2 linked regions of the Alligator mississippiensis genome follow. Each later gene encodes a partner of the first gene's protein in a complex. Links are inferred from orthologs where the notes say so. Each region holds a gene or a part of one and is shown on either strand. Other genes may lie near its edges.

Evidence for each region.
Region 2: DPF3 (region 1) and ACTB share a complex: the UniProt entries of both Homo sapiens proteins name them as parts of the BAF complex. The link is inferred for Alligator mississippiensis from reciprocal best matches to the Homo sapiens genes DPF3 and ACTB.

Annotation. Positions count from the first base shown.
Region 1 is NC_081825.1:235,931,514-235,938,896, forward strand, and holds the start of DPF3 (zinc finger protein DPF3), read right to left. Parts: upstream 3,002-7,383; 5' UTR 2,868-3,001; coding exon 2,836-2,867; intron 1-2,835. UniProt on the Homo sapiens protein: Belongs to the neuron-specific chromatin remodeling complex (nBAF complex).
Region 2 is NC_081836.1:53,264,001-53,270,858, forward strand, and holds the start of ACTB (actin, cytoplasmic 1), read right to left. Parts: upstream 3,010-6,858; 5' UTR 2,902-3,009; intron 1,220-2,901; 5' UTR 1,210-1,219; coding exon 1,087-1,209; intron 788-1,086; coding exon 548-787; intron 1-547. UniProt on the Homo sapiens protein: Actin is a highly conserved protein that polymerizes to produce filaments that form cross-linked networks in the cytoplasm of cells.

The sequences.
Region 1 (7,383 bases):
TATCCCACAAGGACTAGCCTCCAATAAACAGAGTAACCCATGTGTCTTTGTGCTGAAGATAGAACACTGTTCGTAGATAAATGCATAAAATATATAGGATAGGATCTCCATCCTTGGACGGTTTTAAGACCCAGCTTAGACAAAGCCTTGACTGGGGTGATCTAGCTGGGGACAGTCCTGCTTTGAGCAGGGGGGTGGATTAAATGACCTCCTGAGGTCCCTTCCAACCCTCATTTTCTATGATTCTATGATACCTGAGCTAGGATTTCAGCCTATAGTATCTACATTGTCCCCTATCGCAGAGCAAAACCTTTGTGTGGCCAGTTTCTGTAGGGGGCGTCTGTGGGTTTTGAGACACAATCAAAACGCAGACGGAGGAAATGCAAATGTCATTCAGCTCCCTTTCATTGTCAGGAAGGACACATGAGGCTAAAACACTGTGCACTGCATCCTTTCCCCCCTATTATGTGTCTTACTGCTTTTGTCCTAATTTATCCCATGCATAATTTATTTACATGTGTATTGTTTCCTGATCAGCAACTTTAAAGAATAAATGAAAATTATAAAATGTTTTATTAAACAAGTTAATAAAAAAGACAGATGGTGTCAGACGGCCCGCTCCAATCCTGCTCCCTCTGCACAGTGTTCATACTTTAAAAGGCATACAGAGAAAAGCAAACCCTGCACTTGATGCCTATTGTTTCCTCTCCTCTCACCCCAGGGGAAGGAGGGGGGGGGAAGAGCTAATTATAAAGGGTCCAACCCTGCTCCCACTGACTTCAGTGGCAACAGGATTAGGCCCCCAAAGAATGTAAGTGCACACAAAACATTGGCAGGATCTATCAGCTGATGTTAGAAATTACTGTGTGGAGGTAATGAGCGCCCCAAATATATCTGGGGGCAACCTAATGGTCCATAATCACGTCTTGCAGTAAGGGTGACACCTTCGTACCATGCCCCCGTTCTTCTTGCACTCTCCCGCCGGCTTCCTCCATTGACTTGAACGGAGTTATCCCCATTTGGCCCCCACGAAAGCAGGAGGGGAGCCCGGCGCGGACACTCTCTCTCTCTCTCTACAGTAAGGTTCAAATCCCTTTTCGGCAGCTCGCCCGTAAGAGCAGCGGCGCCTGAATGACTTTCCCAAAAGGGGAACCAGACCCAACCTTCCAACTCTTCATATTTCCATAAGGGTGTAAATAAACTCAGCTCCCCCCTCCCCCGCAGAGAGGGGCAAAGACAGACCCAACAACCTGTATTGTGTATAGTCGAGATTGTTTTCAGGCACCTAAGTTGCCAACAATGAATGCGCACGATCTAACTCTTCTTGTCTTGTCTTTCTTAATTGGGAGAAAATAAATACTCGAGCGCTCTAAGCAGCAGCAGGAGGAGAAGGAGGAGGCTGCGGGAGAAAGGGCACGGGGAGAAGTTGATGAGAGAGAGCCCGGCATCAAGCACCCGGTGCAAGTGGCGGAGTACTGCCCACTGCGGGCGCCTTCAGCGCTTATTCAGGTTTCTTTCTCTTTCAAAAAAAAAAAAAAAAAAAGCATCAGCTTCTCGGGGAAGGCGCCCCGGGCCGCTGCCCCGTAGGGAGGAGGCTTCACGTGAGTAAAGGGCTGCTGCCACAATGGAGAGAGGTAAACGCGGCGGCTGCGTGCCCCGCTCCAGCTCGCTCGGGGACAGCAGCGGGGAATCCCTGGAAAAGCCCCCGGCTGCGTCTCCAACGGGGCTGCGAGGGAGCGGAGTTGCGAGGGCGCCGCAATCGCATCGCTAAAAACTCCAGGGCGCCCGCGCCAGGTGCCACGAGCGGGCAGGGAAGTGGTTTCCACCGGGCTAAGGCAGCCTCTGGCCTCCCCACGGCCGGGGCGAACCCCACTGTCCCTAATGCCGTCGGGGATTAGCGGCAGACGGGAAAGCAGGGACGCGATCCGGGGCAAGGCGGCTGCTCTGGTGTCTCCTTCCTCCCTCCCTCCTGCTTTAAAGCCGCCTTCCCTGGAGCTCGGGCAGCCCCGCGGGTTTGTGCCGCGCAGGCACCTGCCCCCGACTCTCCGCCTCTCGTTTCCTAGCAAGCAGCCGCCCGGGCTCCCCCGCGGCCGGAGCCGGCCACGCTGGGGCTCCGCGGGTCCCTCCCGAGCCGGAAACAGAGCCGAGCCCCGCGGGCCCCTGTCAAAGCGAAAGGCGCTCACATGCAAAGCAGAGCTCCGCACTTCCTGCCGTGCCCCGGCCAGCCCTGACCCGGCTCATTCATTTCGTGTCAGGCCGGCCGTGGCGGAGCACTGCCGCGGTGCCCCCGCCCCCGGGGATCTGCGCCGCCGGCCTTGCGGCCCGCTCCCAGCCCGCTCCGCCAAGTTCGTCCCAACTCCGCGCCAGTTGCGAAAGAAAAGTCCTGGCTCGGGTGGCAGCGCCGCGAAGCCGAGCGGCGCCGCAGCCGACTTCCGAGCCCAGCCTCCTCCCCCGGCCCCGGGCGCCCAGACAGCGGGCGCAGGACACTGGCAAGTGCACGCAGCCCCGCCGGGTCCTCCGGGATCTCGGCGTTTCCCAGGTGCGCGCATCCCGGAGATCTGCCAGGCAGCACCGGGGCCACCCTCCCCGCCTCCCTCCCCTCCAGCCCCCCGAGCCAATTAAGGAGACAAATATAACAATTTCTTCTCGTTAATTTCAGCGCCGGGCGCCCGCGCGCGGGGCACAAAAAGAGAGTGGGTGCGAGCGAGGAGGGCGGCCGGGGAGAGCCGCGCGGAGGCTGCAGGCGCCCGGCTCCGGCTGGCAGCGAGCGGCGGAAAGGCGCCTTTTTTCATATTGAAACCACGCGGAATATGTACATTTTTGATTCCTACTTACGCTTTCAGGGGGTTGTGAATGACAGTCGCCATTTTGCTACAATGTAACAGAATATTGTGCCTCGGAGTTCTAAAGGTTCGCTCAGGGGAAGCGGCCAGCCAATCCGCGCGCGGGATACCGGCCCGCGGTCCAATCAGGGGCCGCGGGCGGAGCTCGGTCTCTGCTAGTTATTAGGGGAGCTGTCAAAGCCCAGAGGTCACTCCCTTTCTGTAGAACTGGAAGAGAGCAGGTCTTAAAGGGGCAGTTCACACTCCTAGGGCTGTCACCGCCCCGAATTTGAGTGAGGGGGGGGTGAGTGGGAGGAGGGAAAGACTTTTTGCAGTTATCTCACTGTTTCTTTAAAGAAGAGAGAGGGAGAGAGAGAGAGAGAGAGAGAGGAGTAGGGGATAAAGCATGGGTCATTCATTGTCTCTTTGCCTTGCTGTCGCTGCCTTGCATTTCCCAGATGGCATGCCCCCTTCTTCACATGCCAGGATTGGATGCATGCCATTTCACCAGGAAAATAAATTACATGGGTATTGACATTTGATTCCGCATTAGATCCTGAAGCTTTTCATTATTATTCCCCAATGTGTTTCCCTTTCTTGAAAGCCATTTTCCTCTTTAGGCTTCTTGGAAATGCTAGTGCTCACAGTGACTCTAGGGCTGCACCCCCTCCCCCCTCCCCTAGGAATTTCTCAATGTCAGTCATCCAGCTCCTGCAGCCAGTGCACTGGTTACATAATGCACAGTGGCCAAACCAACTGCCTGCTTGTTTTCTGTTTTTCCCACAAAGCAACTTCTCAAGTTAATCGCCTGGGCTAGCATGTTGAGACCAAGTCATCTGATCCTTCAGCAGAGAAAGGGAGGAGGAAGGCTTTTAACTTTCATATTTACGACGCCTAGTTTTGTGGTGGCAAAGTAACTTGGAGGCCAGTAGTTTTGCAGCAGATGAGGTGCCGTTAAAGTTGACTGACAGGAGAGTCACCAAACTCCAGGAAGTCTGGGTTTGCCTGTAACTAAGACTTTGCAAGTGAATAATCCAACATGAGCTAAGAGGTTCGCAAGATGCCTAGTTGTGATCTCAGTGCATCTTAGAGGCAACTCCATTAAAGTTATGAAGTTACACCAGTGTAATCTGACCTAAAAAAAGTCTGAATCAGACCCACAAAGTTTGGTTTGATATTAGTGGAGGGTTTTTTCATGCAAAACTTCACTACCTCAAAGGTCTTTTTTCCCTTCAGGCATCCTCTGACCCTCAAAAAAATGAAACATAGGCCTGATTTTGGTGTAAACAGAAGATCACAAATCAAGAGAAATTCAAGTGAAATCAAAGAAGTTACACTGCTTTTGTACCAACATGAGGGAGAAAAGAATAAAGATTTGATTATAATCATTCAGACAACCAGAGTAACAATGGAAGTATCAATAATTCATTATATATTCAGGTGGCAAAATAAGTAGAGGCAGCAGTTCTGGACTACTGAGCTGAATTAAGAAAGGGCCAAAATGGTTATAACAAATCTTATTTTTTTATACCTTGGAATTTTTTCGACGTAAGGGGTGAGCAGAAAAAAAAGTTGCTGCAAACAAGATAAAGATGCAAGAGGGGAGATACAAGGAGGGAAGGATGGAGTCAAATAAAGAGACGATGGAGTACACATTTGTTTCCCTGCCCTAGGGTTGTTTCAAAAAAGCTAGATCAAGTCTTTTCAAATGTGTCTGCCGTCCCTCTTCTCAAGAATGTTGCCTCATTAGCTGACAGATTAAACAAATTACTGTGCCAAGTTTCTATCCCTGAAGGTGATCTACTCTTTCATCTAAGTAGATCACCTTCTGTCCCTGAAGGTGATCTACTCTTTCCTCATAAGCCTTTTGGCTAAAAGCACTTCTCTACAGAACCCAGATTTTCATGCATCACAGCATTTCCAAGCTGTTGGGACATCCCAAAACATAGTCATGGGAAGTAAGTGTTATTGTATGATTCTATAAAATATAGTAAGCACTCAGCTAACACTGAGTACAACAGGCTTCTTATGCTTGGCTTGCAAGGAAGATCATCCACAAACTTAAAAGCGTTTGTAAATGGGCAAGTGATATATATGAAACAGAAACGAACAGGTTAATGTGTATGTGTACCAATGATCCAAGGTAGAGGACATCATAACTGTTTCACTGCATGGCATAAGCCCTATCCTGCTGGCAGAGATTGTTAGCTTCCTGCTTCTTAGCCAGGGTGCCAGGACACCCTGGGATGCCATAGGAAGTGTAAGGATATACTGACAGTGAGGCGTGAAAAGATAAGCAGACGGGGAAACTCCCTGCCTAGCTGTACCCCCATCCACACTGCCTGGCCCCTCTGCACAGAGGTCAGTACTGAAATAAATACAGTAGGTTTTGAAATTGGGTGCCACTCACTTTGCAAAAGTTACAGAGGGGTGCCTTGAGCCTAATCAGGGGTTCACTGAGTCTAAAAAGGCTGAGAACCACTCCTGTAGCTAAAACTGTGGGAGGTAATTGGCTCTGTCTCCATCCTCACAAAAAAAAATCTTACTTCCATGGAAACTTAAACACTACCACCATGGGACACCAGGTGGTCATGGATTTGTTCACATAACATTTATTTATATTTGTGGTACCCACCTGCCTACAGAAAGTTGACACCTAGATGCTATATATAATAATTCATTCTGGAATCTTATGATGAACTGCAGTTACATGTGTGAGGATTATATCAAACTCCTTTGGTTGTTTCACCTATACTCTTCCCATTAATCCATCTCTATATATCATTTATACTCTGCCCTCCCCCATCCCCCTACCCCCAGCACCTTCAGAAGATACTATGTTACTGTATATTGTTCCAGAAGTTATTTCTTTTCCCCACAAGCTACACCTTTGCGTTCAGGTGTACAGCCAGCCCTCACACACAATGTTGGTGGTTCTTCTGTTTACTATGAAGCAAATTTCAACCAAATATTTGCATGCTTAGCATATTAGCCAGAGACCCAAAATAAGTATCATTCTGTCTCAGAACAGTGACAGCTTTTTATATGTGAAAAATAAATAAGTTAACGTATCCCAAATGCCTGCAGAGTCAAAGAAGGCCTATGAGCTGTGCTCTGGAAAGGTGAGACATCCAACCATGCAAAGTCCTAGGATATTGTACCATCAAATGGTAATATTTTAAAGGTAAAGCAAAAAGCTGTTGTAGGTCATTTCTGTGAGTTTAATGAGTCTCTCAGGGTTCTGTACTGTTTGACTCATAGGCCCCTGAGCTGCAGGCAGTGGAGAAGGCTGAAAATATAGTTCTAAGCCATATCTGTGCTTCCTTGAACCTTAAGTCATGTAGGTGTTGGGCCAGTCCCAACTCCCAACAACCCAAATTGACTGACAGTATAGCCAATGGCATGGGGGCCCATAAGCTGGCCATAAGAAACCCACACTGCCTGCTTTTCCCAGCCACATCTCATATACCAATGGTCAGCACAGATCTATCTACAGGACTGTTATGCCACTTGAGAGTCTTTTTACACAGCTAGAGGGCAGCTCTGCAATATCAGAGCATTGCAGAATACAGCTAATCGGCAACTAAGGCATCTAGCTTTACTGGCAAAGGCATACAAATAGTAAGTTTTACCTCAAACATTTCTAAAATATTGTCCCAGGAATGCATGCATCATAAAAATACAGAAGGATCTGGTATGCTGCATCAGCTATTATAGATTCTTGTTTAGAATAACCTATTCACTCATGGCTTCACCACTTGCAATTAATGCAACCATTGATTACTCGTGGTAATAAAACCTTTATCCTGCACCATCACAAATTGTATTTTCTGCCTCACATGCTCACCAAAACATACACACTTTCATCATTAACTGAAATCACAGGAGAATGCAAGAAGATGAAAATGATTTTAAAATCTTTAAATAAAATAGGTAGACAGACTTAACAAGGCACTGCCAGCTACTTTTAAAGCCAACATTTAAAATTAAAAAAAGGAGCGGGGTAGTAGGGGAGGGGTTATATAAACCTAGTGGGTGGAATCTGTTCTATCAATACGAAGTCTGGGTATTCAAACTTTATATATACAGAGCATGAATAGTTTTAGGAGCTGAAACTCGTCTCCAAATCAGACCTAATGAGTAGGGCTTGCAATATGATTCACTGCTACAGGAGAAAAGTAGCTGTAGCTCCTCCATGTAAGTTCAATGGAGACTTGAGACCACTGGATTGGCACCTCTAACCTACTCCCCTTCAGACTTCTGCACTTGTAAGTGCTTTTCATTCTTTCTTAATTGGGGGGGAAAATAATCAAGCAATCTAAGCAGCAGGAGGAAGAGGAGGAGGATGCAGGAGAAAAGATACAAGGAGAAGTTGGTGTGAGTGAGCCTGGCATCAAACACCCGATGCAAGTGGCAGAGCATAGCCCACTACAGGCGCTTTCAGCACTTATTCAAGTTTGTTTCATTCAAAAAAAAAAGCATTGCTTCTCGGGGAAGGCGCCCTGGGCCACTGCCCCATGGAGAAGCTGCTTCACGTGAGCAAAGGGCTGCTGCCACAATG
Region 2 (6,858 bases), on another chromosome or scaffold:
GGCTCGTGAGAGATTGTTTGCAAGTCATGCAAGTGTCATTTTGCTAGACCATTCCCATGTCCCCAGAGACAACAATCATGGGTCCACTGGAATGGGAGGCCATGCCAATCAGTTCTGGGCTACCACAGCAAACCCATCAACCCAAGTCCGAGTCCTGGGAAGAAGTTAAGAACATGGGCAAAAGCCCAGGTGCAACACAGCTGCTTCAGAGAGCCACATTCTCCATCACCCCCCAAAAAACTAGACAGCTACATGGCAGAAATCACTCAAGACAGGTGAACAGTTAGTGTCTAGTCAGAAACAGCAGTTAGAGGAGTTGGTAGTATCAAGGCAGCAAGAGGAAACCAGCTTAGAAGAACAAATAAAACCTGTCAAGATCCAGCAAAGAGAAGGCTCAGGTCAGGAAAGGAAAACCCTGCAAAGAATAGCAAAAAGGGGAGGGGGGGAAAAAAAGATGAAGACAGGAAGGGAGGAGGGCTGGCCAGCAGCTTCCCCACAGGCTAGAGCCAAGTGGCAGAGGGTGGGGGGCTCAGGCCACAGTACACACCTGTGTCATCTTTTCCCTGTTGGCTTTGGGGTTCAGGGGAGCCTCTGTGAGCAGCACAGGGTGCTCCTCAGGGGCAACTCTGAGCTCGTTGTAGAAGGTGTGGTGCCAGATCTTCTCCATGTCATCCCAGTTGGTGACAATGCCGTGTTCGATGGGGTACTTCAGGGTCAGGATACCTCTTTTGCTTTGGGCCTCATCACCAACATAGCTGTCTTTCTGGCCCATGCCAACCATCACACCCTGAAGAAATAATAATAATAAAAAAAGGGGCTACCATTAGTTAAACTCAAACACCCACATCCTACCACGTCTACCAGACTGGTTACTTGGGCTAGGGGCCAGCCAGCTTTTCAAGTGGCTTATAGTAGGGGGAATTGCTGGATGAACCAAGCCATCAACTGATTAAGGAAGGACGTGTCCCTAGAACGGAAATGAGTTGCTTTTTCTCCAGTCTAGGAATTGGAGTCTTTGGAGCCACTCCATTTCTTGGAAACCGTTTCCAGCGTAGAAGAGGCAGCACCCCCTCCCCTCCCACGTACCTGGTGTCTGGGGCGCCCGACGATGGATGGGAAGACGGCACGAGGGGCGTCGTCCCCAGCGAAGCCGGCCTTGCACATACCGGAGCCATTGTCCACAACGAGCGCAGCAATATCATCATCCATGGCGAACTAACTGCAAAGCAACACAAGACAATGTGAGCATGCTGGAGTTGCTGCTCTGAGTAGCTCGTGGGCACTCCTAGACCGTGGTCTGTCAGGGCTGCCAGGCACCACCGCTCATCCTGTCTTGCCAGGAGGAGGAAAGCCCCATGTGGTAAAGCTCCTGCCAAGACAGAGCTGCAGACCCGGCCGCCTACCCCACCCATTTCCTCTCTAGCTTCCTGTTTGCTCTGCGCCTCTTCTCCAGCCGGCCGCGAGGGGGAGCCCAGTGCTGCATATTTTGCCTTTGCACAGATTTGGGACAAAGGAAGTCCCTGCTCCAGTCTCATATTATTACCATAAAAGGCAATGGTGAGAGCGAGCTTTGCAAGGAGCCAGTGGCACGGCGTGGAGCCAGCTTTTGGGAGGGCCCCCGCTCGCTGCCAGCCACTCCCCTCCCTTCAAAGGAGGCCGGGCCTGGCCACTCCCTGTTCCCAGCACTGCTGTGGGGGTGTCTGTCTGGAGGCAGGCGTGACAATGGAGGAGTTGCGAAGGGCAAGTTCCCGACACCCTGCTCTGGGCTCCGGCTCCCCGCCCTGCGCAGCCCCGACTAGCGCAACTAGTCAGGCAGCCACGCACAGGTGCATTTTGTGCTCCATCAAGTGGGGCAGCAGCAGACCCGCCCTGCCAAGCTTGCCCAGCAAGTTGGCTCTGGAGCACCTCCTTTCTCCCCACGCCCCACTGAAACAGCCAGAGCGTTATTCTAGCATTACAGTCCTTGCAAGCTGGGAGGGCCCCTGGGGCACAGCCCCGGCCAGGCTCAAATGCCACCTCAGACCCAGCGGAGAGTGAACTGCCAAGCCCATTTCTACCCTCGTGTGCCAAGCAAGGGCACCAGGGAGTGGAGTCCTCCCCTGCAGCTGGGGCAGGGCGGCTGGGCATTGCCCCCGTGCCAGGGCAGCTCCCCTACAACACTGCTGGAGCAAAGGGCACCCCCCACCCCTGCCTCCCAGCCTAGGAGCCAGGCACTGGGGTGCAGAGACCCCACCCTACCCAGCGCCCGCCAGCAGCTGCGGGCAGCCCCTCCCCACGCATGGGGGGGCAGCCACCTCCCAGAGACCATCCAGACAAAGACCCTCTCCCCAGCAGTGGGAGGAGCGGCTGCTCCGCTCGCCCCATGCACCCAAGGCTGCCTTCCCCTACCCCCACCGCGTGCGCCCAGCTCCTAGCAAGGGAGCCGGGCACCTCCAGCCCTGCAGCAGGGCCAGCAGTGGGTACACCCCCTCCGTCCCAGCTCTGACCATTTCTTCCCCACCCAGCCCGGCAACAAATCCTCTTAAGAGACGCACTACAAACACCTCGCCCCCCACCACACACAGCTGGGGTACAGGAAGGGTGCTGGTGTTGCAACCCCAACCACCAGCACTCCCCTTGCACCCCCCACCATGCACAAGTGGGGTACAGGGAAGAGGTGGTGGTACACCCCCAGCACCAGCCAGTCATGCATGGTTGGGGTGCAGGTTTTGCAACCCCACCATACAACACTAGCACCCCCCACCATGCACAGTTAGGGTACAGGTTTTGCAACACCCCATGCACAGTCGGGGTACAAGGAGGTGGTGGTTTTGCAACCCCAGGAGCCTCCCAAACCATGCAACCCCGCACCCATGCCCCCCTGCAAACACCCCCCTCCCTGGGCCCGGGCCCGGCGCTCACCGGGCGGCTGCAGGCGTCGAGCGGTGCTGGGGTTGGGGCTGGCGGTGCAGGCGGGAGCAGCTCGCGGCGACAGCAGCCGGCCGCGCGCGCCGGGTTTTATAGGACCGAGCGGGCCGGGCCCCATCGCCATATAAGGCAACTTTCGGAACGGGCCGCGCTGATTGGCTGCGGCGCGCTCAGTCACCGCCGCGCGCGCACATTGCAGCAGCCCCCCCTCCCCCGCGGGCCCGGCGCCTCCCTGCGCTGCCGCGGCCGCTGCTGCACCCCGCCGGCCGGCCGGCACCCCCGGGCAGGGGGCAAGGGGCAGGGCCGGGCCGGGCCCGGAGGGTGCAGTTGCACATGCAAAACAAGCCTTGGGGTGCATTGCACGTGCAAAAAAAAAACCCCAACCCTGGGGAGCCAGCACTCAGTGCAGGGGGAGGATGAGCCCACCCTGGTACCCAGGAAAGCGCGCCCTTAACCCCCTTCCAACTGCCCAGGGTGGAAATGGATGATGTTGAGCATTGGCAGGCAGTGCCATGCCGTCCCCAGGTTTCCATTATGGGGGTGGTCGGAGCAGCAGGGATTTGGGGGGTCCTGCCAATTCCTGCTTCCTCTTCCATTCTGGTGCAAGGCCTCGTGTGGTTGTGTTTCTGCAAGTCTGCATTTCGGTATCGTACGGGAGACTCGTTTCCAAACAAAGGCAAGGTCACCCCGCGAAGAGCCAGGAGCCGAGGGGCTGCAAAGCGTTTCGCCTCTCTAGGACGCGGTGCAAACACGAACTGATTAAATCGAGTCAATGAAGCAGTGGGGGAGTGTGGGCCTCGACTTGCAGACTGCTGTCAGTTTTGCAGCGCGGGCTTCAACCTGGCAGCAAGGTTGTGCCTTGGATATTGGCTCTCAGCAAAAATAACAGCCCCTGGAAAATGGTACACATGAATTTCTAAGTGACACGGGGATGGGCAGTGTGCTGCTGAAGTGGGGCGCCAAGCTGAGCGTGCATTTGGATGAGGATGCGATGCAGTAGGGAATGGGGTTAGCAGGGCATCTGGAGTTGCGGGGGGGGGGGGGGGTGCTGTTTGATGACGGCCCAGCCCTGCCCTGCCAGCTGAGTCACAAGGAAATCAATGAGACTTGATGTGAATAAGGCCTACCTGAGTGTGTGTGTGTGTGTGCAGGACATTCATTCATATAAGGTGAAACCTGGAGGGTTTGGCCATTGAACGGTTCCTTCCTGTAAAGTGAGTCCTTTTTTGGAAGAGTTGGGGGTCAGGGCGTTATCTCCCCAGGGAAATGCGTGTCACCCTCCCTGCGCGACATGGCACAACACCGGGGAGGAGAAAGCAGCAGGGGGAACTGTGCAAATAGTTGTAGAGCACAGTTCTGCAATTACCTGGGTGGGGGTAATTGTGTGGGACTTAACAAGCCATTTATGGATGGGCCGGACTGGTTTCTCTTCCTATTGGATCCCTATGCAGAGCCCAGCTGACTTCCTCAGCAGCCCGTGTGGGGCATGTAGCCTGCCCAGCTGCCCCAGGGCTCCCAGGGGAGCTGGGAAGGGCCACGTGGGGTCTCAGGCCTTTGGCTTCTTCCTTCTCCCTGTGTTGAGGGACCCAGAAAACAGCCTGCAGGGACCAAAGGCCTCTGGAAACAGAAGTTCACCTTATAGTGGCAGGGCGAGGACAGGCTGTTCGACTCTCGGCCCTTGTTGCAAGGGGTTCATGTCTTCAGATGGGGGGTCCGCACCTGCTGCAGTCTAGTCGTTGTGCCACCTCCGACTGCAGGCGGGCACTGAGCCAAGCATTGCTTTGGGTCCTGTCTGTGAGAGGAGCATCCTGACACCGCCACGCGACTGATGATCCAGAGGGATCCCCACAGTTGTCAGTGGAGCTCGTCCAGGTAGGCACTGATGGAACCGAGAGCAGAACTTGGCCCTTTGCAAAGGGTCTACACGCACCCTGTCGGGACAGAGAGGCACGCAGCGGGTGTCCAGCCTGGTATCACGATTCACCCAAAGCAACACAAGCGGCATCTGGAAGGAGCATGGCGCACGAAGGGGCACACGCATTGCACCGGGGTGTGCTCCGAAGACCTCTGGAGGGTCCTTCCAGCCGTACTTCTTTATGGCACAAGCATAGTCTATGGAGGGGAATCCAAAGGGCCCAGTGGACCCAGTGCAGGAGCTATGCACGGGCTCTTAAAGGGCATGGCAATCGCACGCTCCTCCAAAGAGGTGCTACCCCTAAACCCATACCCCTACCGACCTGCCCTGTATCTCCTCTAGAGAACATACAAGGGCAAAAGTACCTCATCAGAAATGTCCAGCTACAGGGAAGAACACAAAGGCTTTTATAAAAACTCAAGGTTTTCTTTAACACGAGGAGAAGGCAGCCATGCGACGTGATGGGCAAAGCAGGGGGTGTGCAACCAGGAGCCCCGGAGGTAAAACCCTGCCTGCCCATGTCTGTCTCTGTGACGTGGGGCAAACCCCTCCAGCTCCGTGACTCTCAGCTTCCCTATCAGTAAAACGGGGATCATTGCAGTTAATTAGCCCGTTCCCAGAGACTTCATTAATATCCCTGCCCTTCTTTGGAAAGGCTGAGCCTTGCATATTATTAATTAGAGGATTATGTCAAATAAAAGCAACCACAAGGCCCGGGTGCGGGGTGGCTGTGCAGAGCAGCAGGGGCCGGATGAGGCAAGGGGGAAGGTTAAGTGGAAGTGTCCATCAGGGATGAGGTGGGGACAAAAAACATCCTGTGAATGCGGTGAGGCAGGGGGAAGCGCACTCCAGCCCTAGGAGAGGCTGCCATGCCGCTTCACCGCCCTTCTCCGCACAAAGGCTGAAGGGAGCAGGGACCTGAGGGAGATCAGCATTAATGAGGAGCCGGCGGTCTCAGGGGGCTTCCAGCAAAGGACAATAGGCGAGAAGCTATTGATGATCAGCAGGGCCAGATGCAATTCTGGGAAGGGGCTGAGGACCTGAGGAGAGGAGTCTCCAAAGTCTCCTTGCAGCCATCTCTGGGGACTGATGGAGAACAAGTGAGGTGGGAGAATGGCAGATGTAAGATGGTTATGTGGGGGGGAATTACCAGCCAGCTAGAATTGCCTAACCTCACAGCTACAGCAAAGAGCAAGGTACCCGAGCTGGAAATACCCCAAACACAATAATGCGTCCGCCCTGTGCCATGAGAATTTAATCTGAATGAAGATTGCAAGAACCGGCCCCTGACGAGCAGCAAGTGTCCCCGGTTCTCTCACTTCCTCCGAGGTGGAGAAAAGCCAGGATTGAAAGGCATTGACTACAAAGGGGATTTGTTCCTGAGGGTGCAGGTCACGCAGATAACCCAATCCATGTGGGGCTGTGGCTGAACAAACTCTCCAAGGCATCGCATTAATGCTCCCACTGCATAAACTCACCCAATGGCTGTGGTGGAGTGTGTATGGAGCTTGCTGGTGGGTTGTGCTACAAGTGCCTCCTAGAAAGGGGACAGGCAGAACGCCATGGACACTGTGGGTGGGAGCAGAAAGCCAGGATCTCATCACTAAACATGAATGGGGAGCGCTTGGAAAATTGGGACAATTTAGAGAAGGCCAAGAGGGAGAAAAGAAGACTGAAAGGGAGGCCTAGGGAACAATCTTTGAAAGCAAGATAAGATGGTTGTAAAGAGGATGGTGAGCAATTGTTCTCACTGTCCTCTGAGGATTACTGAGAGAGGCCGTGGAATACGTACAGGTTGAATCGGGATGTCAAGCATCCGGCCCATGGGTCAGATCCAGCTTACAGAGCCCCATCATCCAGCCCCTGGTGCTGCCCTGTTAACCCATGCACTGTGCCAGACTGACCCTGTGCAGAGTACCACGGACACGTGCCACCCATGGCACTCACTGGGACCAGGTCCCAGGCTGTGTTACAGGGGATGCACAGTTGGGCTGGCATCCCAAACCAGCCCGGGCAGGTGCTATATGCACTGGATC